Arabidopsis thaliana: one gene and its partners. The protein of the gene in region 1 interacts with the protein of each later gene in a pairwise test. Each region holds a gene or a part of one and is shown on either strand. Other genes may lie near its edges.

Evidence for each region.
Region 2: the proteins of CXIP2 (region 1) and AT5G09830 interact in a two-hybrid assay, tested with the Arabidopsis thaliana proteins (one study listed by BioGRID).
Region 3: the proteins of CXIP2 (region 1) and CPSUFE interact in a two-hybrid assay, tested with the Arabidopsis thaliana proteins (one study listed by BioGRID).
Region 4: the proteins of CXIP2 (region 1) and IND interact in binary tests that used the Arabidopsis thaliana proteins (3 or more experiments, as listed by UniProt).

What each region holds. Positions count from the first base shown.
Region 1 is NC_003071.7:16,029,264-16,035,849, forward strand, and holds CXIP2 (CAX-interacting protein 2), read right to left. Parts: upstream 3,907-6,586; 5' UTR 3,792-3,906; coding exon 3,411-3,791; intron 2,585-3,410; coding exon 2,084-2,584; 3' UTR 1,922-2,083; downstream 1-1,921. Other genes in the region: FAC1 (AMP deaminase, putative / myoadenylate deaminase), read right to left, coding at 4,504-4,572, 4,656-4,754, 4,847-4,927, 5,151-5,324, 5,398-5,508, 5,590-5,643, 5,724-5,876, 5,973-6,113 and 1 more. UniProt on the Arabidopsis thaliana protein: May only reduce GSH-thiol disulfides, but not protein disulfides. Participates probably to the maturation of iron-sulfur proteins and to the regulation of the redox state of the BOLA proteins.
Region 2 is NC_003076.8:3,057,103-3,062,906, reverse strand, and holds AT5G09830 (BolA-like family protein), read left to right. Parts: upstream 1-4,081; 5' UTR 4,082-4,137; coding exon 4,138-4,197; intron 4,198-4,781; coding exon 4,782-4,804; intron 4,805-4,892; coding exon 4,893-5,091; 3' UTR 5,092-5,304; downstream 5,305-5,804. Other genes in the region: AT5G09840 (Putative endonuclease or glycosyl hydrolase), read right to left, coding at 937-1,825, 1,995-3,880; AT5G09820 (Plastid-lipid associated protein PAP / fibrillin family protein), read left to right, coding at 5,527-5,804. UniProt on the Arabidopsis thaliana protein: May act either alone or in interaction with glutaredoxin as a redox-regulated transcriptional regulator, or as a factor regulating Fe-S cluster biogenesis. The GRXS17-BOLA2 heterodimer binds a labile, oxygen sensitive iron-sulfur cluster.
Region 3 is NC_003075.7:13,380,831-13,386,800, reverse strand, and holds CPSUFE (chloroplast sulfur E), read left to right. Parts: upstream 1-3,159; 5' UTR 3,160-3,229; coding exon 3,230-4,345; 3' UTR 4,346-4,603; downstream 4,604-5,970. Other genes in the region: UKL4 (uridine kinase-like 4), read right to left, coding at 41-124, 210-404, 588-667, 843-939, 1,146-1,258, 1,590-1,659, 1,948-2,039, 2,142-2,298; AT4G26490 (Late embryogenesis abundant (LEA) hydroxyproline-rich glycoprotein family), read right to left, coding at 5,570-5,970. UniProt on the Arabidopsis thaliana protein: Participates in cysteine desulfurization mediated by NFS2 in chloroplast and NIFS1 in mitochondrion. Activates the cysteine desulfurase activity of NFS2.
Region 4 is NC_003075.7:39,992-46,264, reverse strand, and holds IND (basic helix-loop-helix (bHLH) DNA-binding superfamily protein), read left to right. Parts: upstream 1-3,067; coding exon 3,068-3,664; 3' UTR 3,665-4,600; downstream 4,601-6,273. Other genes in the region: GAE3 (UDP-D-glucuronate 4-epimerase 3), read left to right, coding at 6,271-6,273. UniProt on the Arabidopsis thaliana protein: Transcription regulator required for seed dispersal. Involved in the differentiation of all three cell types required for fruit dehiscence. Acts as the key regulator in a network including SHP and ALC that controls specification of the valve margin.

The DNA of each region.
Region 1 (6,586 bases):
ACAGAAATAAAGATCGACTAAGAAAAACAGAATCCAAACAAAGTCGGAAAACTATATAAAACAAAAAGATGGAATATTCCGGTTAACCGGAAATCACCACTCTCTCTCTCAAAGATGAACAGTGTGTTAAGAGAGAGAGTCTCTTTTACCGTATCTTTTTACCTTTTAGAGCTTTAATTATGCTTACTTGTATGGGCTGTAAAAAATTATTAGGCATCGGCCATTTTTATTTTTAATGCAACAAAATCCACTAACTTCTGCCTAAATTTCAGTTTGTTGTTTCTGGTTGATACAAGTAATTATTATTGTTAACAAAAACATAGTTAAGTTCAAAACTTAGATATTTCAAAAATTTCGATGAACAAACTTATGCTATGGTTTATGATGGCCAAACCGATTCGATCAAGTTTTTTTTTTTTTGTATTGGCACTAGTACTACCACTCATCTTCTTTCTCTTCTTAGCTTGTTGCCCTTTTTGACATTCGTCTCTTTTTCTCTTCATTGATTCCTTATCATGCGATTTCCCAACTAAAGACGGTTGTTCTCTCTGAGCAAAACTCTTGGCGACATGACCCAAGTCAAGTGAAGCTTCTTCACCACGAAAATGCTCTTGAGCTCTCCCTTGTGAGACACGAATGCACTCTTCGCTAGGTTCTTCATCTTTTTTGGTGTAAATGTTAAATTGTTCTTCATCTTTGGCTGTGAATAAGACGGATACAAACAAAGAGAGATTTTTACCATCAGAGTATCAATCAATCACAGCGAGAGGGAACACATTGAAGAGAATCGTACCTAAAAGTAAAATCTACTAACTTCTATAAAATTTCATTTTCATCGACTACATTTATTTCTATTGTTGGTGCAGGAATTAGCACCTCCGACAATACCGGCTTAAACCAGAGGAATTACGAATTAGACTGAGATTGTAATCAAACCGGGGTATCCCGGTTTAGCCTGTTAATGAGCCAAAATAAGGAGGTCATTTGCCGACTTTAGCCCCAAGTAGGGAGACCGCCTAGCCGACTTCCTAATTCGAAGAAAAAGAAGTTTTCTCCTTTGAAAATAGCAAGTCTTCGAAGATAAAGGAAATTAGAAGATTCAAGCCTCGAAGAATTGAAAGTTTAACATATCTTTTAATCGTCTTAATAATGTATAAATAGGGGGAGGGGGGAGGGAGTTGTCCTCTATTCTAAGGATCCGAAACTTAATAATAAAACCCTAGTTTTCTTCATTGTTCTTGAGCAAAACCCTAACTTTGTCTCTAACCAACTTTGTTCTTCTTTTCATTGAGCCTTTGGTCACTAAATAGCGAGAGAGAGTTAAGTAAATTTGTTTATCCCCTTTAAACAAATTTATTGTGTGATTTTCAGAATCAACACCTATCAACTTATTTTACAGTCTGACTTATATTTTTTTATTGTTTTGTTTTTATGTAATCGAATTTTTGAGACCGTTGACTTGTTGTTTTATTTGTTCATTTAATTTTTTTCAGTTTCCAAAAAAAAAATAAAAAGAAAATACAACCCATAAACTAACCTCGTCATCATCATATTTTTCAATTTTCATGAACGTTTGTTACTCATATAAGTTGTAACAAATGAATACCATAGAATATTTGTGTTATTTTTGAGATATTCATCCTACAAATGAGAATTTAGTACTTAAAATGAATATTTTGTGTTAGTTCACCCAAAGATTATGTCAAAGAAGAACAATAATTCTCTAATAAACGTGCTACAAGAATAAGAATGCTACTAAATTAATCAATTAAATCATTTAACGTAACAATAGTTACTTAACTCCATTTCCAATTATGTTTTGTTTCAACATATATATTTAAAGGGACAATTAGTGTAAAAAAAAAAAAAAAAAAATCATTGGTTAAATGACCACAAAATAGGTGAATTTAGTGGATGGTTATGCGTTTTAAACCTACTCTTAGATTTGTATAGAATCTGTAACCTTTTATAAATGCGGAAAACAGAAAACGAATCTGTAACTATGGAAGAGAATCCAAGCATGTTTTCTCTATAATGAATGTTTGGAGTTACAACTAGAAATAGAGAAGAAAATCGGATGAAACTAGTTCAAGATATTGGCAAGTTCACCATTTTCATACATTGAGGTCAAAATATCACATCCTCCTACAAGTTCTCCTTTCACAAATATCTGTGGAAACGTTGGCCAATTGCTGTAGTTCTTAAGCGTCTCCCTTAGCCCATGATTATACTCATCGTCAAGAACATCAACAGTTTCATAATCAACTCCTTGGCTTTCAAGAATCCCAACAACTCTCTGTGAGAATCCACATTGAGGAGCACTCCTTGATCCTTTTATGAAAGCTACCACTTTGCTCTCTTTCACTAAACGGTCAATCAGTTCCTCCAAAGGAACCGTGAGCTCAACATGGCGACCTGGAGTGAGACGGATATCGGATTTCTTCCTCGGAGTTTGTTTGACAAATGTGTTGTTCCCTGACTTATTCCCCGGCGGAACTTTTCCAGTTACTTTTATATGTTCTTCTATCCATAATTTCCATGCTTGTGTTAAAACTGCTTTATCTGGTTCTTCTACTATTCCAACCTAGCAAAACAATGATGAAATCAGTTATGGAAGATATATCAACAATACCAAAACTTGTCAATATCCATCACATGAGCATAAACAAAGTCCTATTGAGTCAATGGAGCAAATAAACACTAAAATAATCATAACATAAGTAAATCATAAGCAAAATATAAGCAATAAGTGACAAATAAATGATAGAAAGAGGAAAAATGTAAATTCTTAAGATAATAATACAACCCATAAAAATGTAAATTTCTCAAGAGCAATCTTTAGATTTGACTGTTGTAAGCTGATACAGTTAAGGATCATGGACACAAAAAAAACAAAAGCTCTTGTTATTAATTAAAAGAACCTGACACAGAATGGTAATCAAAATGCCAAAGAGAATCAGTTCTCTCCATTGGTACAAAACCGATATACCTCTCAAACCTCGACAAATCTCGCCAATGCGCACTGTCCTGTATCTATAGAGTAGAATTTCCCTAAAAAACTAATCAAAAGAAAATGCTAAAAAAACAAGTCCTAACTCCTAAGTAACATATACAAAATGAACTATTGATGCATCTCCTAATCATAATGTGTGGTAAGTGTTGTTAAAAGAACTCTTACCAACAACAGAACCAAGAACTTCATTAGCTCTAGTTTTGCAAACAATAGTGATCCTAATGATATGAAATACTATCTCTGGAACTAAAGTGATGAACTTTTGTAGTATTCATTTACCAAAACACTTCCCAAATCTATGAACAGTAATAAACAAAAGTCAACCACAACAAAACAAAGAATCCTTCGTTATAGTAACAGACATGCTACTCCTCTATATGAAATCATGGATAAGTACCTTAACGGAGCCACAAAGCTCCGGCACAGATTTGAGATGAGCAGAGACACTCGCAGCGATGTTCCGAGAAATTCCGACGAACTGAAGCTCGTCGCTCTTATCGTATACAGCGTATACACCGGAAGCGGACGGGATTGAATCAGCCTCTGTGATTGGAAGCAGCTCCGTCTCCGTTAGAGATTTGACGGCGGAGGCGATAAAGAAGGAACGACGACGAGACGGAGCTGTGTCACGGAGTGTGAAGGAGAGAGATGGGAAGGAGAAGGATGGTGTGAAGCGTGAATAGAGGGTGATCACAGGGGTATTTCGAGAAACATGTGGACGAACAACACGCGGAGAGGCTGAGGCGTGCAAGGAGGAAGAAATGGTGATTGCAGCCATTTTTGTCGGAGCTGAGAAAAGTTATCGGTGGAAAATGATGAGCTCTTTTATTTGACATAGGATTTTATCCATTGGGCCTGAATTGGACTGTTATTAAGGCCTTATGATACTTGGGTTTTAAATACCATAATTCGGAAAAGTGGGACCCGCTTTAGTTTCTTTTTTCTTACACATTCCATACTTCAGTCTGTTATGAAACAAAAGGAACATTTGTCTAGTTCACTTCATGATCAAGCCAAATCTACCAATGTGACCCAAAAACATGTGTTTAATCCGGTAAACAGATCTCAGTATGGTTTAAAACAGAACCAAAACAAACAAACAAAATTGGATTTCGAACATAATGCTATTTCTGATTAAAAATTGAATCTGAATCCAAGTTAAAACAGTATGTAATCCAAAAACTGAAATCCATTATATTAAAACCGGTTCTCAACTGGTCTCTTTGTATCTCATTATCTAAAAAGCTTTATAAAACAATAAGATTTTGGCACAGCCTAATCGCTTTCTCAGGGCACAGAGCCACTCATATTATTACCCTATCTACTAGGTTCCTGCTTTCGTATACTTCTCAAAATGCTCTCTTTGTTCCCCTGCAATCTGAAATTCAATCATTGACATCATAAGAAAATGTTGTAACAGAAGTGATAAGATCATTGAGTTGTTACATACATGTTGGATTCTTACGTCTTGCCATTTCTGATTGTGGTTTTTATGGAACAACTTCATCAGAGATAACAGCCTTGCCCAGATAAACCTGTTGCATCTCCTCTTTCCAGATCTGCATCAACTTCATATTTTTAATTTGTTTTCCTACAAAGAGAAATTAACTTGTGTGAAGAATAAATATATTTCATTCCATACCGTGTCACGGAACTCCACCCTTATGTGTGGCACGTTTGTTTTGTGAATGTCGTTTCCATCAGGTCCTCTTTTGTAGTAATCTTTTCCAATCCAGTGCGACTGGAACATCTCAACAAGTTAGTATTATTAGTAGATCGGAACAGAGACATCTTGTTCATTCATACTATGGGCCATGTTGATATAACAAGTACCTTCAGGGCGTGTGAGAAACCTGACTGGTACACTGAGTTACGAGCTATCTCGCACAGGTCACACGCACTCAGCTTCCAAACCTGAAAAATCCAGTTATCATCTTCAGTTAATACATAAATATAACTAAAACCTAGAAGAAAAGGATGTATAGAGAGAAATTTCATTGTTCTTCGTGTTTGCAATTGCAGAAGATCAGTATAAATCATTTAAAGGTAATAACTAATAAGACTTTTAAAAATATAATCAACTTTTCAAGGCCTATGATGTGTGGCAAGACTGCATAATGGAAAGATTATGACTTACTGATGCAGCTATGCTATACTCTTCCACGAGAGGTTCTTTAGTTAAGTGAATCTGAAGGGGGTCATCAGTAGACAGAGAAACATTGAGACCTCTTAAGAAAAACACAGGAAACGGGTTCCGGTGGTAATCTAGAAACAAAGAGTTGTTGCTCAGTGGTGACATGGCCAGACCAATCTGTCAAAAGAAATGTCTTCTTAGAACAGAAACAATAATACATATGTAATACATGCAGGCAGTCTCCACAAACCTGGGCGAGGTAGTACAGATACTGAAGCACAGGAGACTTTCGCAGATTGATTCCATGTGCGATGCTATGGCATGTTAGAAACGTAGCAGCCAAGTGGTCAATGTCACCAGCCTGAAATTTGTAGACATGTTAAAATTCCACTGAACTGTAACTGAAAACTGTTTATCTAGCACAAAGGAAGAAATAACACACCTCTCCAGAATGTGGTCGTAGCGTGATAGTAGTCATGCCCTTTGACTCTCGAAGCTGAAGAAAAATAGTTACTCCATATTACACAGTTTTGAGAACACCAAGTTAGTTACAGAAGCGACTAAGAGGAATGGTACCTTATTTAACACATAGAGGTTAGCATAACAATAGTAGACATAATACGAAAATGCAGGATTGAATGCGTTAGTCCATTGAGCTGGAGTGGGCATGTGTTTTGTGGGACGTCTTTCAGGTTTGCTTTCATCATCAACCAAATCAAATCCAACAACCTGAAATAGCAAACAAGAGACAGCAACCAGTCAAACCAACTCTTTATTGTGTAAAGACATGCGGATTAGAGGTTATTTGAAGATATGAATGCTAACCTGCTTCAAAAAAACATGGAGCTGAGGATGGGAATCAGGATCTACCGTGGCTTCAAACAGAGGAATGAATATATTGTCCAGGATATTCTGGAACGATGTCACAATACCCATGTCCTTGTAAATGTTGTACAAGCGTGGGAGCTAGTGAGCAGACAAACAGAAAACAAGGAAAATATAGCTCAGTTAGCAGTCATGTTACAAACACACGGAGACAAAAAAAACACATACACTCATGGAAGGACATGGAGCACACAAGTATCAAAGAGATGGCTAACCTGAATTAACCAGACAACATTCTCACTGTATAGATCATTGTTCACAATCCAACTAGCGAGTTGGTCCCACTCGCTCATTTTTCTGCCATATATAGATATTCTGTATTCAGCCATCTGCAGTGTTCAACGTAGACATCAGGAAAAACAAAACAGAGCAATTATGGATCTGCTTTGGCAAGAAGATTTCTTGACACAGAATTTGAGCAATGCCATGATGTTTTTTGGAACTCAAGTCAATGCGCATATGTGAGGGAGTGTGAGTTTGATATGGTTACTGAGACTAAAATCCAAGGATTTTACTACTATATCTTTTCCTAATATAACAAATGAGTTAAAGTT
Region 2 (5,804 bases), on another chromosome or scaffold:
GGCCTTAAGACCCGTCGTAATGGCGTAGGTCCATTGGTTGATGAAGAAGGAGACGCATTTTTTTATAATCTTTTTGACCGAATCATTGTGGATACGCATGAGCTGTTTTGTTTAATTATTGTATTAAAATATGTATACATAGCCTTTAATGGTAATTAATATTGGTATATTTTAAGGGAACAAGACAAGATTAGGCTTAAATAATAAGATCAATTTTCTTTTCTTTATCCATTTCTTAAGTACTTTTATTGGTGTGTGTTTTTAATCGAGTGTCCATTGAGAAGACTCAAGTGACAAAGATGATTCACCAAGCAACTCCACATGTATGTCACAACATTTCATTAAATACTTTTCTCTTACTCCTATTTAATAATTACTCCTTAGATACATCTTTCTGACAACAATTATAAACTTTTTTAGAATTACTAAAATGAAACTACTGGCACAAATTGAAACCCCCGAAATTTTCATTTTTTATTTATAAAAAAAACTGTATAAACATTATGGTCAACAATAAATTATATACCAAATCTAGTTTTGGTTTGTTAACTATTTAATACCTAACTTATAACCAAAAAGCATGTCATTATCACTTTTAAACTCTTCATTTAATCTAATCGAATAAAATGTTTAAATAACTCCATCTTTTATGGAGTACATTTTATTTTTCTATTTCTATTCATTCATTCCGTGCTTTACACATCAACGTTGAAATTAAGAACCAAAATTTAATTTAAAAAATCACGTAATACAGTAAAACCTATCAATAAATGCATACGATGCGACTTGCCACTGAAAAGAGTTTGAACCATATTAATCTTATTTCTCCTTAACCGGATTCGGTTTACCATAGACCAAACCCAAAACCGGCTTCAACTAATTACACTCAATTCCTCGGGAGATTGTTAATTAAACAGTAAACAACCCTCTGACTCACTAGACTTCTGAATCTTTCACAAAAGAATACGTCTTTGTAGGCTTTTGCTTTCTACCGTTGCTTACAAGCTTCCTCTCCACCGGATTCTCCTTCAATTCTCCATCTTTATTTGTGTAATAAGAATCCAGAATTTGCAATAACGAGCTCTCTTTACCTTCTTTACTCATCATCTGTTGCTTCTTCTTCTCTGGGTTATCTCTCTCTGAACCAGAATCTTCTTCATCCTCTGAGAGTGATGGTTCATATACTGGAAGCTTTTTGGTCGTCGGGTGGGTAGTTGTTGTATCAGAAACTGGACCAAGTTCTGCGAATGCCAAGTCCGAATCATCTTCTTTTGACTTGGCATTTGGTGAAGGAGTTGAAGGAAAGATGTATCCAGATGCTATTCTCACTCCATGCATGACTCGAATCAGAGACTGCAGGTTGTCGTAACCGAGCTTGTCAACCGCTAAATGGTACCCATACTCCTCTAAGAAGTCTTTCCTGAAACGAATCAGGCTATACCCTTCAGGGTGTTCCTCTGTTATCTTCTTTATCATCTTCTGACAATCCGCTATTGCATTACTTTTGTATCTTTCCAGCTCTTTCCGGTCCACAGAACCAACAGAAACTCCAGCATGAGCAACGTTCTTGCCGCTTTTCTCACCATTTTGTTTCTGCCACTGTGATTTTGAAGAATCCGAGAAGATTGAGCTCAAACCGTTTGAAGCATGACGGTGGCCAGGGCTAGATCCTTTGATGATTCTGAATGGTAAAGAAGAAGATGGGGTTTCTTCAATCCATTTCTTTTCTGATATTAGCAAAGTAACTAAATGAAGCATGCTTGATTCATCGAGCAGTCTGAGACACGAAGGCCCTTCCTCCTGCACATTTTTAGCCATCACCTCCCTGACCAGGTTAAGACGGAACAGCATTAGCTGAATACTCGTCCCAAAAAAGACAACAAATGGCTAATGCAAGAACCAATTGTAATAGTTCTGAACCTAAGATAGATTTACATATTAATCAATATCTAATCAAAGTCCTGCCAAATCAGGAGGGAAGAGAATGTACGCACCTTGTCCTCGAGTGAGATACTATAGCAAAGCCTCTTGGAGAATTAATGAAAGATTCAATATCACTCCAAAAATACTCTTTTGCAAATATGTCTTGTACTTGAGAATCAACATTGACAAGCTCCTGATTCCCACTAGAGTCTTTGCTAGACTTTGTATTCTTTCCCCAGAACTTGAAACTCTTCAAAAGGCGACCTAAAAAGCCTGGACTTGCATCTTTATCTTTACTGTCTACGTCATCAGCTCCAACTTTTACCTCATCGACCGACTCAGCAACGAAAGAAGGTGAGATTTGAGACATGGGCACAGTTCCCTGACTCGATGACTTTAAGTCCTTATCCTCTTTATGTTTGTTTCCACTTCCCTGACTTGATGACTTTAAGTCATTATCCTCTCTATGTGTGTCTCCACTTCCAGAAACGCTCTTCATTTCTGGGAGATGCTCTAATTCCATCTCAGGTGAACCATACCACAGTCTTTTTAGCTTTTGAAAAAAGCCATCTTCCATGGACGAATCACTCCACGCAACAAGAGCGACTTGATTCGTCTCGACGGGTTTAACATTTGCCTTAACATCCTTCTGGCCGACCAGAATTGGGTCTTGAGAACTCTCTGATGATTCTTCTTTAACAATTTTATCACTCTCCAATACCTTTTCCTGCTTCTTTCCAAGTAAGCCATCTCTTCTTCTTTCAGCAGCAAGCTCTACATCGCTAATTAGCTTTGGTGATGGAGCATTAACAGTTTCCTTATCTTTAATCTTCTGATCAACAGCAGTAGACAAACGAGGACTAGAATCAAGCCGCATCGGAGGCTTCTTTTCGGTAACAGCCCGAATCATAAACAAGCCTTCACTTACTGTAGTAACCTGTAAGATATCTGGCATGGATAAAAGAAACTTCGAAAACTTCTTATGTCCATAGAAATCTTTATCAATAGCCAAGTTGCTCTTACTCAGCTCAGCACGTAGTTCTGTAATGGCAGCCCCCTTGGGATATAAACTCACTATCGAACGAATCTTATCAACAACTTCTTTTGGAATAGGACGAAGGTTAACAACAGCATTCGAATTCACAGACTCGGATAGTTCTTCGATTTTCACACTAGACGAAGATTGCTCAGTAGTGGTAGCAATAGCAAATGGATCAAGAAGAGGAATCCTATAGTGACCATACCAAGAGTTATAAGGACCATCAGGAGGCTGATTAAAATGCTTACCAGTAACACACTCTCCTTTAATCAAAGCATCCCAATCCCACATAATAGAAGCAGCACTACACAAAACACCAGGAGCTGATGATTTACTCGCAAGCAAAATGTTGTAATTGTTCATCCTCAATCTATGTAACACACTTGCAAACTCCTTATCACTAGAGATTAGCAAAAGATGAGCTGGTGGTGGATTCTGAGAAACCCAACACATAAGATCTGTGATTAGAGATCTATCAGCACTGTTCTTACCACCGTTAGGAACATGAGTGAGACTGATTCCTGTAGCGGAGAGAGCGTCTTGGTTTGATCTGGGGAGCTGTAAAACGTCACCGAAGGCTGTGATTGTGATTGGTCCTTTGATTCCGCTGTTTCTGATAGCGGCGGTGATTGATTGTGCTACTTTGTAGACATTGGTGTCTACAGGTAAGTTACAGCTCAGGAAGTCCCACCAGACCGAAACCCTAACGGATCGGGACTCTTCGTCTTGCTGAGGACGTCGAGAGGGAGAATGGCTGGATCCGGAGACGAAATTGGAGCCGGAGGTGGTTGTGGTGGAGAATGGAGAGGAATGAATGTTAGTGATGAAAAGGGTAATTGTTCGACGGTGAGATTGGGTTGTGGAGGAAGAAGAGAGGCGGAAGAGAAGGGATTTGGATGGTAAAGATCCAAACTTCATGGTCGGAGAGCTATTTTTGCTCCGGGAAATGGAGAGACTGAGAGGGTTTTAGGAGTGAGGAAGACGAAGTAAAGGAAAGCAGAGCTTAAACCCTAGTTATTATTTTGGAATTGTCGATAACCGAATGGTATCCCAATTGAACCAAACTAAACCGTACTCTCGCTAAACCAAAACCAAATAGCGTATGGTTTAATATTCTAATTCAATGAGTACAGTAATTAGGGATTTCAATTTTTGTTTGAGAGAGAGAGAGAGAGATGGTGACGAAGGAGCAAGTCGAAGCTTCATTGACTTCGAAACTTAAGCCAATTCATCTCGTGAGTGTTCTTATACTGCTTTCTTCTTTCAATTTCATCTATTGATTAGGGTTTGAAACTTTTGTGGGAAACTTTGAAACCCTAATCATCAAATTGATCTGGGAAAATTGCCAAATTTGAGATTTTTGACCTGCTCACTTTGATCAAAATCATACACTTTGATAGTTGGATCATAAGAGGTACTATGTATTGTAATAATCTCAGCATCTAGATTATACATCACTATGTGTTGTCTTTCAGCTCTGAAACAGAATATAAAAGGTGGTTGTTTGCGTAGTTAGGTGTAATTTGATGCAGTGTGATACTGAGCTCAGGATTTGATGACGTAGTGTTCCTGATGTATTAGCAACTTAGTAGTGAGTGTTCTTGTCGGAAAATTTTATTTGTGTCATGGTTTTTTGTGAACTAGAACTCAAAAAGCAGATCCAAGGATGTGTATAGTTTCTTTGCTTTATAACATGTGAAGATTGAAGTTACTTCAATGTCAATCTATTTCCCTTTTCACTTGATTCATGTGTTCCAATTGTTTCAATCTTTAGCTTTTAGAATTTTTTAGTGACATTGTTTGTTTTTGTGTGTACCAGGAAGTCATTGACATATCTGGAGGGTAAGTACCGGATTGTCAATACACATTTGATTCTCTGGCTTATGGCATAATTTCTTGTTCTTAATATCAGCAAAACTGTTTATTGCAGTTGTGGTTCGAGTTTTGAAGTGGAGGTTGTCTCTGAACAATTCGAAGGGAAGAGATTGCTGGAGAGGCATCGTATGGTGAATGCTGCGCTAGAAGAAGAAATGAAAGAGATTCATGCTCTCTCTATTAAGAAAGCTCAGACTCCACAACAATGGAAGCCACCATCACAAGACTCTGCAACCTTAACCAAAGATGCCTGAATTTCTGTTTTTTAAAAGCCTTGTGACAAAGAACAGAGCATTTACTATGTTGATACTTTGTGGTTACTGTACTCCGATTACTGCTTTTGATGAAGTGTAAACACTTTTTTAAAACATATGCAATTGGTTGCAAAATATAACAAAAATTGGGTTTTTCTCAATTTAGATGGAGATTTTTTTGAGAATTTTACCATGACACCATCTTAAAAAAGAAAAAAAAGACCAATGGGATTGGCTAAATTTTATAATAGAGTCAGTGCAGTGTATGGTGGGGGGGAGAGATAGATGCTAAAAGATGGATAAAATAACCAAAAAAAACTGTCCATTCTCCTCCCCATAAATCTATCTCTCTCTCTTTTTCCTCAAATCCCATCTTCTTCTTCTACTTCTTATTAAGCTCCATTGGGTTTAGAGATTCTGGTGTATAAACTGCTAATGACGAGTAACCTTTTCCAGCCACCATCAATGGCAGCTTCACGAGGAGCAATCTCGAGAAGAACAGGAAACGTGAAAGTATTAGTCTCTTTCACCAGTTCTAATGGCAAAACGCTGAGTTTTAGTGACAACTCATTTAGGCTCAGACCCATGTTCATCGGGAAAGTCACAGAACAGAGTTCTTGTTCCTCCCCAAATGAACAACAACAAGATGAAGAACAAGAACAAGAACAAGAAGAGATTACAGTTTCTCATATAAAAGAAGAGCTCTACGAAGC
Region 3 (5,970 bases), on another chromosome or scaffold:
GAATTTGGTCAGCCATTTAAATGAGCTTTAATAATCCTACCAGCCTAATCAATCGATCAGAATAGAAGACAAAATCATGTTTGGTTGTCTGAGAATCTCGTATAAGGGTGTGCATCCCTCTTATCTGCAAGAGAAATCAATTTTCTGGATCTTGTTTGGTAGTTAAGAGAATGTTACTCGTATGTAGATGAGATTGATATATCAATTACCTGAAATGTCGAGTGTATAACGTAGAGATTAGGATATATTTTACAGAGATCATGTTGACCCAGCTTGGTGCAAATATGTTGCACAATTAAGTCAATAGCTACATGATTATCCCCACCACGAGGGATTATAATATCTGCATATTTCTTCGTTGGAAGAATGAAGTCATCAAAAGCAGGCTTCACAAACTTTGAGTACTGCATCAAAAGGTTGACATCATATAAAATATGGGTAGAAACATATAGATTTGAAAACGCCGAACTAATATGAGAAAAAAACATACAGATCAGAGCAATGTAATATTTAAAATGCAAGAGGTAAACCATTTCTTGTTGTTCTTGATGATAATATATACAGTAACAATACTAAGACGGGCTAACCTGGTCAAGTACTGTGCCGATATCTCTACCATTCTCGACAGTATCTCTTTTTATCCTTCTTGCCAAACGAACGTCAGCATCTACGCAGAAAACAAAATAAGCAATGTGAAACAGCAAAATCTTAAAGCATAAGAAGTTGTTCCATCATGTGAAATTTTGTAGAAAAAAAAAGCCAAGTGAATCTACAAAAGGGAAATGGAATGTAGTCGAAACAAGAGTTTACAATAATTATAACGGGAAGAGGCAACAAATTACCTGTGCAAACAAAAATCTTCATGTTCATCAACTTTCGGACGCGTGGATCATGGAACAAAAGTATCCCTTCAAGAATTATTACATCTGTAGGATTTACCTGCAGAATGTTTTTCAAAATCCTAGCATCAAATAAGATTAAATTGATCTCCCCTTAAATCCCCAACCAGATAAAAGCCAGTGGTGACATCTAAGAAATTGCTATTGTTACAGAAAGAGGCAGTGAGAAAATGAAAAAGGAATCTCAAATTTATAAACATCAAGTAACAATATGATAATGAGTGATGCTGAGAGGGAAGGTGGTACCCTTCTGAAAACACTGCTCCTGTAAGTTTTAAAATCATATTTTGGAATATCTACAGCTTGCCCTTGCCTCAATTTCTCCATACAAGACAATAAATGCTCTGTGTCAAATGCGTCTACAGAAACAACAACAATTCATTAGAATCCTGGATAAAAAGAAATTAACGGTGGATGACAAAGAGTAATGCACAAGACTTTTTCTCATAACTCCCAGCAACTAGTAATGTGCTGTCAGGGATGAAATTGCTTTAATAAAAGAGAATACATCAATTAGTAAGATATCACTGAATAATATGGCTGTTAGTTATGCCTTAATTATCCCAAAGAAGTATTATAAAAAAAAAAAAAATGGCCAAAGAAGCTAGGAAAGATTTTTTACTCCTGATGACACTATGTATTGACAAGAGTAGATTACAGAAAGCAATTACACTCCAAATATATTCTCACCTGGATGATCAAAGTTGTATTCATGAACTCTAGCAAGTTCTTCTTCAGTCAGATTATGATAGAACGAGTCCTGCCAAAAATCATTATCATAGGATATTAAGTCGAGCAATTTGTGGTTTATCATGATGCCAAAGGAATTTGAGAATTAGATAAATAGACTGACATAAATATCTAAACAATGGTGACAAGGTTGAACAATGTTAAACTTCAGCCATATATAAGTTATTAGCTGGTAATATTCTCCTTTTAGATCTCTAAATTGTGTGGAATTCAATTGACTTCATATACATTCGAAACACAAATCAAACCGGTGGTTATCACTTAGCTCTATGAAACTTTATTAGCAAAACAAAATTACCAGGTTAATAAGTACAACACGCTGATCGTGCAGTTGCTGGATTATCATATCACAAACAGTAGTCTTTCCCGATGCTGCGCCTCCAGCAACACCTAACCAATTCAAGTCACAACATATCAATCAAGACCATTCGTCAAGCTTTTTTTATCCACGACCATATATTAATCAAAAATGAAAGCAAAAGCAGAACTCACCTATTACAAAAGGCTGTCTTTGGATATCTTCTGATGCAGAAGTGGTTTCCTTAAGTGCACTTGGTTCCAACCCATTCATGTGCCCATTCACGTGTAAACCAGAAAAATGTGCCCGCGAGGCAGCTTCGATCATGTCAACAACGGACTTAGAACCCATCCCGACGACAATTCTGGACATTGTACATTGGTAAAATAACTTAAATCTTTATCACAATCATGCATAAGCAAACACAATACAAGGAATCTTACAACTTCATCTAGATTCTAAACAACAATGTGAATCAAATCCAACTTTATCCAGCAAAACAGAGAAGAAAAGAGTGAAAAATTTCAGCTGCAACCAAAAACTGTAAATCCAAACTCTTTTGATAACCATAGATCAACAAATGCGAGAACAATCCAAAAGAAACAAAACCCTCAAGTTATAACATTTAATCAAACATGGAAGAACCAGAAGAGCAATGATCGATCATCTCGAGGTGAAATCGTACTTACATGAAAAAACAGATCGTTCAAAAGAGATAAGTCGTAAAAATGAGATTTTTAAAATTACCCAGATTCAGTTTTGCTCTCAAGGATCTAAGGAAAGCCTCAAATCAGAAAAAAAAACGGAGATGCAGTTTCTTTCTGTGGAAGTAGACAGAAACAATAGAATCTCAGATAAGAAAGGGACAGTTTTTTAATTTGATTAAATTTGATAAAAGTGTTTTTATTTAATTTAATTTAATTGCTTACATTGGTAAAAGCTGGATTCGGACATGATTGATTTGATATATAATAATGGCGGACGTGTTTGAGGTGACGAACGCAAGAGAACGAAGAACCAGGAAGACGATGCTTCAAAACAAAACAAAAAAAATCTAGATATCTTTTTCTTTTCCTTATTTATGAAAAGAGTCGTATACTTTCTAATTATTCATAATCAACCCCACAATTGATTTTACATCTAATTTTTGGATTTTGGTACATTCCCGGTTTAATTCCCGGTTACTACCTAATTGGCGGTATTGGTTTTTGACTCAGAAAAAGTGAAGAAGGAGAGCTTTCATCATCATCTCAGTCTCTCTCGAAGTTTCAAGTTCGCGACTATGGCAGCAGCGATGTCTTCTTCTTGTTGCGCTTCCTCGCTTCGTTTAATCCCATTCAAACGGACCTTGTTTTCTTCAATCCATTATCCGGCCAAAACCCTTCTTCTACGACCACTAAAACCGTCGGAAGTTCCTTCCTTTCGCCGGACGATCATCACTTTCCAGAAAATTTCAACCGGGATTGTTCCTCCACCATCGGCTTCATCATCTCCGTCGAGCTATGGAGACCTTCAACCAATCGAAGAGCTTCCACCGAAGCTACAAGAGATCGTCAAGCTTTTCCAATCGGTACAAGAGCCAAAGGCTAAATACGAGCAGCTTATGTTCTACGGGAAGAATCTGACACCTCTCGATTCTCAATTCAAGACGAGGGAGAATAAAGTAGAAGGATGTGTTTCTCAGGTTTGGGTTAGGGCTTTCTTTGATGAGGAACGTAATGTTGTGTATGAAGCTGATTCTGATTCGGTTCTCACTAAAGGGTTAGCTGCTCTATTAGTCAAGGGTTTATCTGGAAGACCTGTCCCTGAGATTTTGAGGATAACACCTGATTTCGCTGTTCTTCTCGGGTTGCAGCAGAGTCTGTCTCCTTCTAGAAACAATGGATTACTTAATATGCTTAAGCTGATGCAGAAAAAGGCTCTTCATTTGGAAGTCAAAGGTGAGGAAGATTCAAGTTCTGGAGAGAGTTCAGAATCCAGCTTTGTGTCTATTCCTGAGACTAAGGACGAAGCTAATGTTCCGGAGGTGGATTTGGAGTCTAAACCTGATCTAGTTGAGGATTTGGGAACAGAAAAGATTGATGATTCTGAGAGTGGGTCAAATGTTGTTGCTTTAGGGAGTAGAGGGATGAGGATAAGAGAGAAATTGGAGAAGGAGCTAGATCCTGTTGAGTTAGAAGTTGAAGATGTTTCTTACCAGCACGCAGGACATGCCGCTGTTAGAGGTAGTGCTGGTGATGATGGGGAAACACATTTCAACTTGCGAATCGTTTCGGATGCTTTCCAAGGTAAAAGCTTGGTCAAGAGACATAGGCTGATATATGACTTGTTGCAAGATGAGTTGAAGAGCGGGTTACATGCTCTCTCTATTGTGGCAAAGACTCCTGCTGAGGTTTGAGGGTGTAACATTGGAAGAAGTCAGGTCCTGATTCTTTTACTTCTTTTGGTCCATTTGCTTTGGATATTGTTCTCTGGACCTTCTAATAATGTTAAGAGCTCGATCAGGATTGTGTTAAATGAGAGATAGATATTGAAGGATATAAATAATGTTTTCGCCAATCGCCACATGATTCACCATTTTCAAACTGATTTCCCTTTATCTTATGAGGGTCAAGGTCTTTTTTGTTTTGATATGGTTTCCTGATATTAAGTTTTGTACCTACGCTTTGAGAGATGAATAGAGAGAATGCTCAAGGTTGTTGTCCATTTGGCTAAGTTTGAATCGTTAGAAAGATCACAGCACCTAGGGAAAGCGAAAAAGGAATTTGGGGAGAAAAATGGTACTATATTCATGCCACCATTAGACATGCGAAGTTTCTTGTTCATTTTTTAATTCTTCTAGAATCTAGATACTCAAAGTTGGTATTGTCTAATCAAGTGATGCAAGTTGGTTTGAGGGACTACAGAAAAAAAGAAAGAGATTTGGTTGCTTTACTTCTTTCTGATAAAATAAGTAAAAAATGTGAAAGGAGTTTCAGATGATCCCTGTTTCAGTCTACCGTTAGACATGTGATGTTTCTTAAAGCCCCATTAGCTGAGACTTGTGGGGTTTTATATACAATCAGCTTTACATACCTGTCTAGTGAAACCAGCTGTGGTTTTAGCCAACCAATTTCTGCAACTTTTCTTTCCTGAGACCATTGTATCTTTTTTTTTTTTTTTTTTTTGATCAAAGTTGAGATTTTGAATATTAAAATCCTCTGTGTTGGTATATGCTAAAAAATGGTTAAGCTTCTTCTTGTGTGTTTTACTGATTTTGATTACTTTAAGTCCTAAAGGGAACCAACATAGGCATCTAATGCTTGTACCTCTTTTGCTTTTGGTCTTAATTCTTTTCTCTGGTGGTTCAGGTATGTTGAACTGTATTAAAATACAACATTGGTCTTGGCACTGTGTCTTGTGGATCAATTATGGATCTGCTTCATAGAAAGATAATATCTTTCCAGTTTCTTTATCTTGGAAATAGTACAAACTCCGATCTCGGTTCTTGGATAGAGTTCACTAGGTCTTTTTCTTTTATACAAGTTGTGGGTAAGCAAATAGAAATATAGTTGAATAAACATGCCAAAGCTAAAGACTTTGAAGATGACTACTGACTCAGAGAACTGTACCGTATTCTTTTTCATTTCTTCGTCGTGCAATTACGAGAAATCAGGATTCCGGTTGGTGGACCGGTCATCTGAAGTTGGCACCTCCCGTGCAGCTGATAAGAGTAATGAATCATTCCAAAATGAGCTTTGACTTTGAAGGTACCTCTAATCTCATATTCTATCTTGTTGTTTTCCAGCTGTCTCCTGAGTTCCACCGCGTGGTTTACAGGCAAGCCTACCAAACTAGAGATCAAACGGATTGGTTCCAACCTCGTCTCATGCTTTTTCTGCAAGAATGGCTGGACCACTTGCGCTGCAATCAATCTATTGAAGAAGAAGAGCTCAATCCGAAGCTTCTCAAACTTCACTTCTATCTTCTTATTAGGGTTAGTGAAATTCACCAGCATGGACAAATCGCCGTTGAAAAACTCCG
Region 4 (6,273 bases), on another chromosome or scaffold:
AATTAGGGGTTAATTCAATTAAAAAATTATCGTTTTGGAAAGTGTGTAATCCAAATCGTTGCGAGCGAGTAAAAATACACGCATGATTCTGTTTGGAAATTTGGAATCCAAATCGTTTGGTTGTTTCGATTTTCTCGCCGAAGATTTTTGCTTTAGAAGTAACAAAATGATAATTAGTGAGCAAAGTTAAATATTATTAACGGAATATATGTTATTTCCAAAAAGAAAAGTCTCATCCTCATTCTTTTGAAAATAGAAGATTTGGGAAATCGTCATAGTAATATATTATTTCTTTGTATCAAATACATATCCATCTACTATCCGGTTGTTGACCCTTAAAGCTTTTGAAGACTACTAGAATAATGCAAATACCATATGTCCATATCCATCCTTTTCTTTTGTTTGAACTGAACATTCTAATTTTGTAAAAGAAAAAACCTTATGTTAATATCACCGTAGGCAAAAAAAATATCTCATCATATTAAATTTTTATTATAAGATTATACATTCTCTCGTTGTAAGAGTTACTCCAATTGCAAGTGTTGTATTAACTAATAAAAAGGACGAAAGTAGGAAGCTTATAATTAATTGATGTTGCATAGTACTGGTATATTGTTGATGAATATAACAAGTATGAACATTAATGCATGAAACGGGGTATTTTGTCTTGAACTCATTAAAGGCAATGTGAAAAGAAGATGTGAGGTCTCATTTTGAAAATTTATCTTCTAGCTTTGTCGATTTTAAATCTATGAAATGAACGCAACATATAGAAATTTCATGTGGACAACGACATTTAGACGGTATCTTAATTAGACCGATTAATTAGTAATATACTTATATATATAATTAGTGGTGATTATAAGTTTACTTATCCACTTGAGAATTTAAACAATGGGCAATACCTTAATGTCGAAAGAAGCCGTCCCCACTTCGTGTAATGAGTTATGGGGGAGAGATCCTGTTAAATCGTCAAATAAAACAACTTAAGAACTAGAAATTGACACCAAAAATCATAAAGAGAACGTTGAAGAAGTCATTTATCGTATCCAGCTCATATTTCCTAGCTAAGATCAAATCAAGGCCGTTGAAAGGGCTTGTAAGAAAATGTCGAAGAAACCGTGGGGTTTAGAAGAAAGACAAGAAATAGAAGAACAATGATGTTAAATTGCCTATTTTGGTGTATAGGAGTTGTCAAAAGAGGAGAGAGAGAAGAAAATTAGGTCAAAATAATGAGCACTAAAAATGGAGACATGTGTTGAGTAACTATTACAAGAGCGACTTATGCTTCCTTATGGCAATGATATCCAAACCAAAGTGCAACGCTCCTTTTTTGCCCTAATTTCGTAAAGTCTCTCTCCTTCTTCGTCCTTAGGAAAAACCCTAGAAATTTAATCCCTTGTTCTTGATCTTGCTTTTTGAGTAACCATGATTTTGACCACACACTATTTCTTCTATCTTTTGTGGTCTATAGGATTTTGCTTTATATGTGTTTCTTGTATTGCTCCGTACGTACGTATACGAATTTAAATGGTTATAACAAGGTTTATATAAACTAGCACAAATGAGTCCATGAAATTTGTTAGCGAAAAAGGTAGAAATATATTGAGTCTTTAAACGGCAATATATATAATTTTGCTGCAAAACTTAGCTTTAATCATGATCTAATGATATTTTCTTTAATTTCCTTTGCCAAATTAATCACATGCACGGATTTTTGGCAAGTTATGTGTCGAATTCTTCCATTCACACAACACTAAACTTAATTAGAACTCTAGGAAATATTTTAAAATGACAACTTTATCGAAAAAAATTTAGTTATGAAAACAATTCCAGAATTAAACATGAGCTATATAATTTAAGATAAAATGAAGTAATATTGATATGTATGTAATAACATATCTGATTGCGGTAAAAAAAAACATATCTGATTAAATTGTTCATGCAGGCCCATGTCACTATGATGTCATCACGTTTTTATTTTCACAATAACTAATATATATTCAAAAAAATAGTTTTGTCAGATTAAATTTTTTTTGGTGGTCAGCTTTCTCCAACCTACTAAACTAGTTTGGAATGTTCTCTTCTTTATTTTTCTTTTTCTTGATTTCTTATGTTTTTTATTTATGGAATTTTAAGACGGATTGTTTAGGTCGTTTCTCTCTTTTCTTGTTTTCTAAAGTTACTTTTGTAAACTCATCTCCTCCCAATTAGACAGTCAATCATATAGTTATCTTTTAATATATGTCTAGTTGATAAAAAAAATGAAAAAATACTGGTGGTAGTTCTACTAATGTTTGTGTAAAAAATCTGATATTATGAATCTAATCAATTTCTTTGATCGTATAATGTGGGTTAAATTTAGTAATTTTTTACATAAATAAGAACTGTAATGTTGATGTATATTGGGGAATCAGTATATTAGCTTGGGTAACTATACTTCTGGAAATACTTGAAGATTTAACTATTTGCAAAATTATAATTTAGTCCCGAAAAATACAGACGACGGGACACGACAACATATAAGCAGGTTTGAATCTTGGAAAATTTTGTATACATAACCTATATAAATACTAATGTTCTGGTTGGGTTCAAAAGCCTTTTCAAAAGTTCCATTTTTTAAATTCAAGGACATTTTACATAGGAAATAAGTTGAGTCATAAAAAATAATGGTTATTTTGTAAGGTTTTTTTTTTGATTAAAACGCACATATTAAGAAGTTAGTTTTTTTTCACTACCAAATATCAATTAATTTAAAACCATGCAACCATTCATAAAACAATACTATTAAAGAATATAAATAATCACAAAATATTAAATACACTTAAAATTTACATATAAATTTACAAAACATCTAATTAATTGAAACAGAAAGGAAAAGGTAAAATATATCATAAAATGAGACATATATCCTATAAAAAAAAAATGAGGCATATGAAGTAAATAATAAGAGACATGCATGTAAGCATTCGGTTAATTAATCGAGTCAAAGATATATATCAGTAAATACATATGTGTATATTTCTGGAAAAAGAATATATATATTGAGAAATAAGAAAAGATGAAAATGGAAAATGGTATGTATAAAAAGAAAGGAGTGTGCGACTCTTGTGTCTCGTCCAAAAGCAGATCCAACCACAGCCCCAAAAGAAGCATGATGGAGCCTCAGCCTCACCATCTCCTCATGGATTGGAACAAAGCTAATGATCTTCTCACACAAGAACACGCAGCTTTTCTCAATGATCCTCACCATCTCATGTTAGATCCACCTCCCGAAACCCTAATTCACTTGGACGAAGACGAAGAGTACGATGAAGACATGGATGCGATGAAGGAGATGCAGTACATGATCGCCGTCATGCAGCCCGTAGACATCGACCCTGCCACGGTCCCTAAGCCGAACCGCCGTAACGTAAGGATAAGCGACGATCCTCAGACGGTGGTTGCTCGTCGGCGTCGGGAAAGGATCAGCGAGAAGATCCGAATTCTCAAGAGGATCGTGCCTGGTGGTGCGAAGATGGACACAGCTTCCATGCTCGACGAAGCCATACGTTACACCAAGTTCTTGAAACGGCAGGTGAGGATTCTTCAGCCTCACTCTCAGATTGGAGCTCCTATGGCTAACCCCTCTTACCTTTGTTATTACCACAACTCCCAACCCTGATGAACTACACAGAAGCTCGCTAGCTAGACATTTGGTGTCATCCTCTCAACCTTTTTCATGTTGATATATTATATATAGATGCATAAAGATTCGATCCAAGATTGTATGGGTGTTTTAATATTATTATTCTAAGATATATGATGTACAATTGTGTACCAAGTTTCTTTATCTTGATATCATATGCATAAATAATTGGTGAATAAAAAGAAGATATTGATTGTAAACAAAAAAAAGAAGATATTGATTGTTAATTAGGGTTTGATCATTCTGTATGAAAGCTTTGGCCTGCAAATTAATTTTCGATATATATATATATATATGGAGAATATATATCAAATACTTTTTTAATTTGACTATAATTTGTATCAATTATCTGAATCTGATGAGTGTAGGTTATATATGGATTAGCAAAAAAGAAAACAACCATTATTACGCACCTACATTAAAAATCATCCACCAAAGAAGAAACCATCCTCAAGAGGGTTCCCATATTGGAGAATAATGAAAAATTTAAGAAGAAAAGGGTCGAGATTTCGACGGACAAGCATTCTGATTATTACAAACATATTTTAGAGAAATTTAGAAAGAAAATTAAACTAAAAATTAAAAAGAAGCAAACTGAGATAACTCTCTGTCTCAATGGAACGCCGGCCAGAAGTGATCATCGTGATTTTGGTTACCATCTTGATAAGGTCAATCGAGGAGTGTATCCGTTTCAAACACCACACGTCCACTATATTTCGCCAAGTTAAATTGAAAGGAAGATGAACAATCAAGAGATGTGGTAGTTATTTTGAATTAAGCATATCCAAAAAGACCCTAGGCGAAGCTGAGAGATCGCAAGTTCGAGTGACACTTGGAACGAAACTAATATTACATGATGTGGTTTCGGGCCTAAAGGAATTACGGGCTTCGGCCCAGAACCTCCTGATATTCAAAAAAAAAAAAAAAAAAGATGTTTATAATAATGATCTTTGAAATTAAACCTCTACATTTATCATAATATTCCTAAATAGTACGTAAATAAAAAACATGCAACCCATGCATATCCAGTCTTAAGTTTATACATATAGATAAATCTCAAACCATACAAATACCATTGTTCTTGTGATTTTTTACTTCCATTTCCTTTTTCCTCCAACGGTGTCATATAAAGCTAACAAATAACTCGTGATTAAACGGACATTTCCAATATGGGCTTTTGGGCCCATAGTGATATGGGTCTCCTTCCGATATCTTTGACTGCGCGTGCCTCCAAAGTTGCTGTAGAGAACAGAAAGAGGCCTTCGATCCTGGCTTTGTCCAGACAAAAGCTGCCTCATCTACCTGGAACTTCGGTCGAGGTAGTGGTGAAGGGGGGATATGTAATCTCAGACAACTCCACAGGTGACAAAACTAGACGTAATCCTAATGGGGACAGGGTCGGAGCTAGAGATAGCTGCAAAGGCTGGAGAGAAGCTAAGAGAAGAAAGAAAAGCAGTGAGAGTAGTGTCATTGGTGAGTTGGGAGCTGTTTGATGAACAAAGAGAAGAATACAAAGAAAGTGTGTTACCTTGAGAGGTTTCAGCAAGACTGAGCATTGAAGCAGGGTCGACCTTTGGGTGGGAGAAGATGGTTGGCTCCAAAAGAAAAGCCATCGGTGTAGACAGTTTGGAGCAAGTGCACCAGCCAATGTGCTCTACAGGAAATTTGGACTCACCGTGGATACGGTTATTGCAGCCGCTAAAGACTTTTGTTAAGCTAAGCTCTCTTTTACACATCATAAAGACATTTTCTACGTTGTTCAAGTGTGCCTTTCCACATACATTTACCCGGACTCACTCACTAGTCACTATAAATCAATATCGTTATGTTTTTATCTTACAATAAGTGAATTTGAAGAATAAAATAGAGCTTTGATGGATATTACTATTATATATGCGGTCTAGTAGATGCGTGTTGTTATTATATTATTCCTTGAAGATTACTCTTTGCTTTTTTGTACCCCATGGATAAATGTGCCTTGGTATTAAGTTGCAAATTTGATTTAATTAATCCCTAAACATGTTACTAGTTAGAGTTTGCACGTGACGATCTTGGGCAGCACCTAAACATGTATTTGTGTGCGTAATTTTGTAATAAGTAAGTGCATCGAGTTTGATGAATCAGTATTTGAATGATAATTCGATGAAAGTACATTTGTTGCCATAAGAACCCTAAAGTAAGATCCATAAGGATGATGAAAGCTTCATTAATAATAAAAGTAAAGTTAATCTACCTATAATAACTAAATTAATCAAGAGTGAAACTAAATCTGTAGAAAATTAAATGTAAGAGATAGAGACTAGAGTGATTAATTAAGCTTTGACTATCCCTTAAATCCTCATAATCTCTTCTTGCTCTTTGACCATCTTCTTCTTCTCTGTGTGTGTGCATTTTCGAGAGAAAAAGAAATAAAGAAGGCCCAAAAATAGAGAAACAAAAATCTTTTCAATTTGATGATCTTCCCTTATTATTCGGAGAGCCTATAAACGCTCTCACCAAACAAACCAAAACCAAAACCAATCCAAGAAAAAAAAGAAACCTCAAAGAAGAAGAAGAAGAAGATTCTCTCTGTCGAGGTAAATATG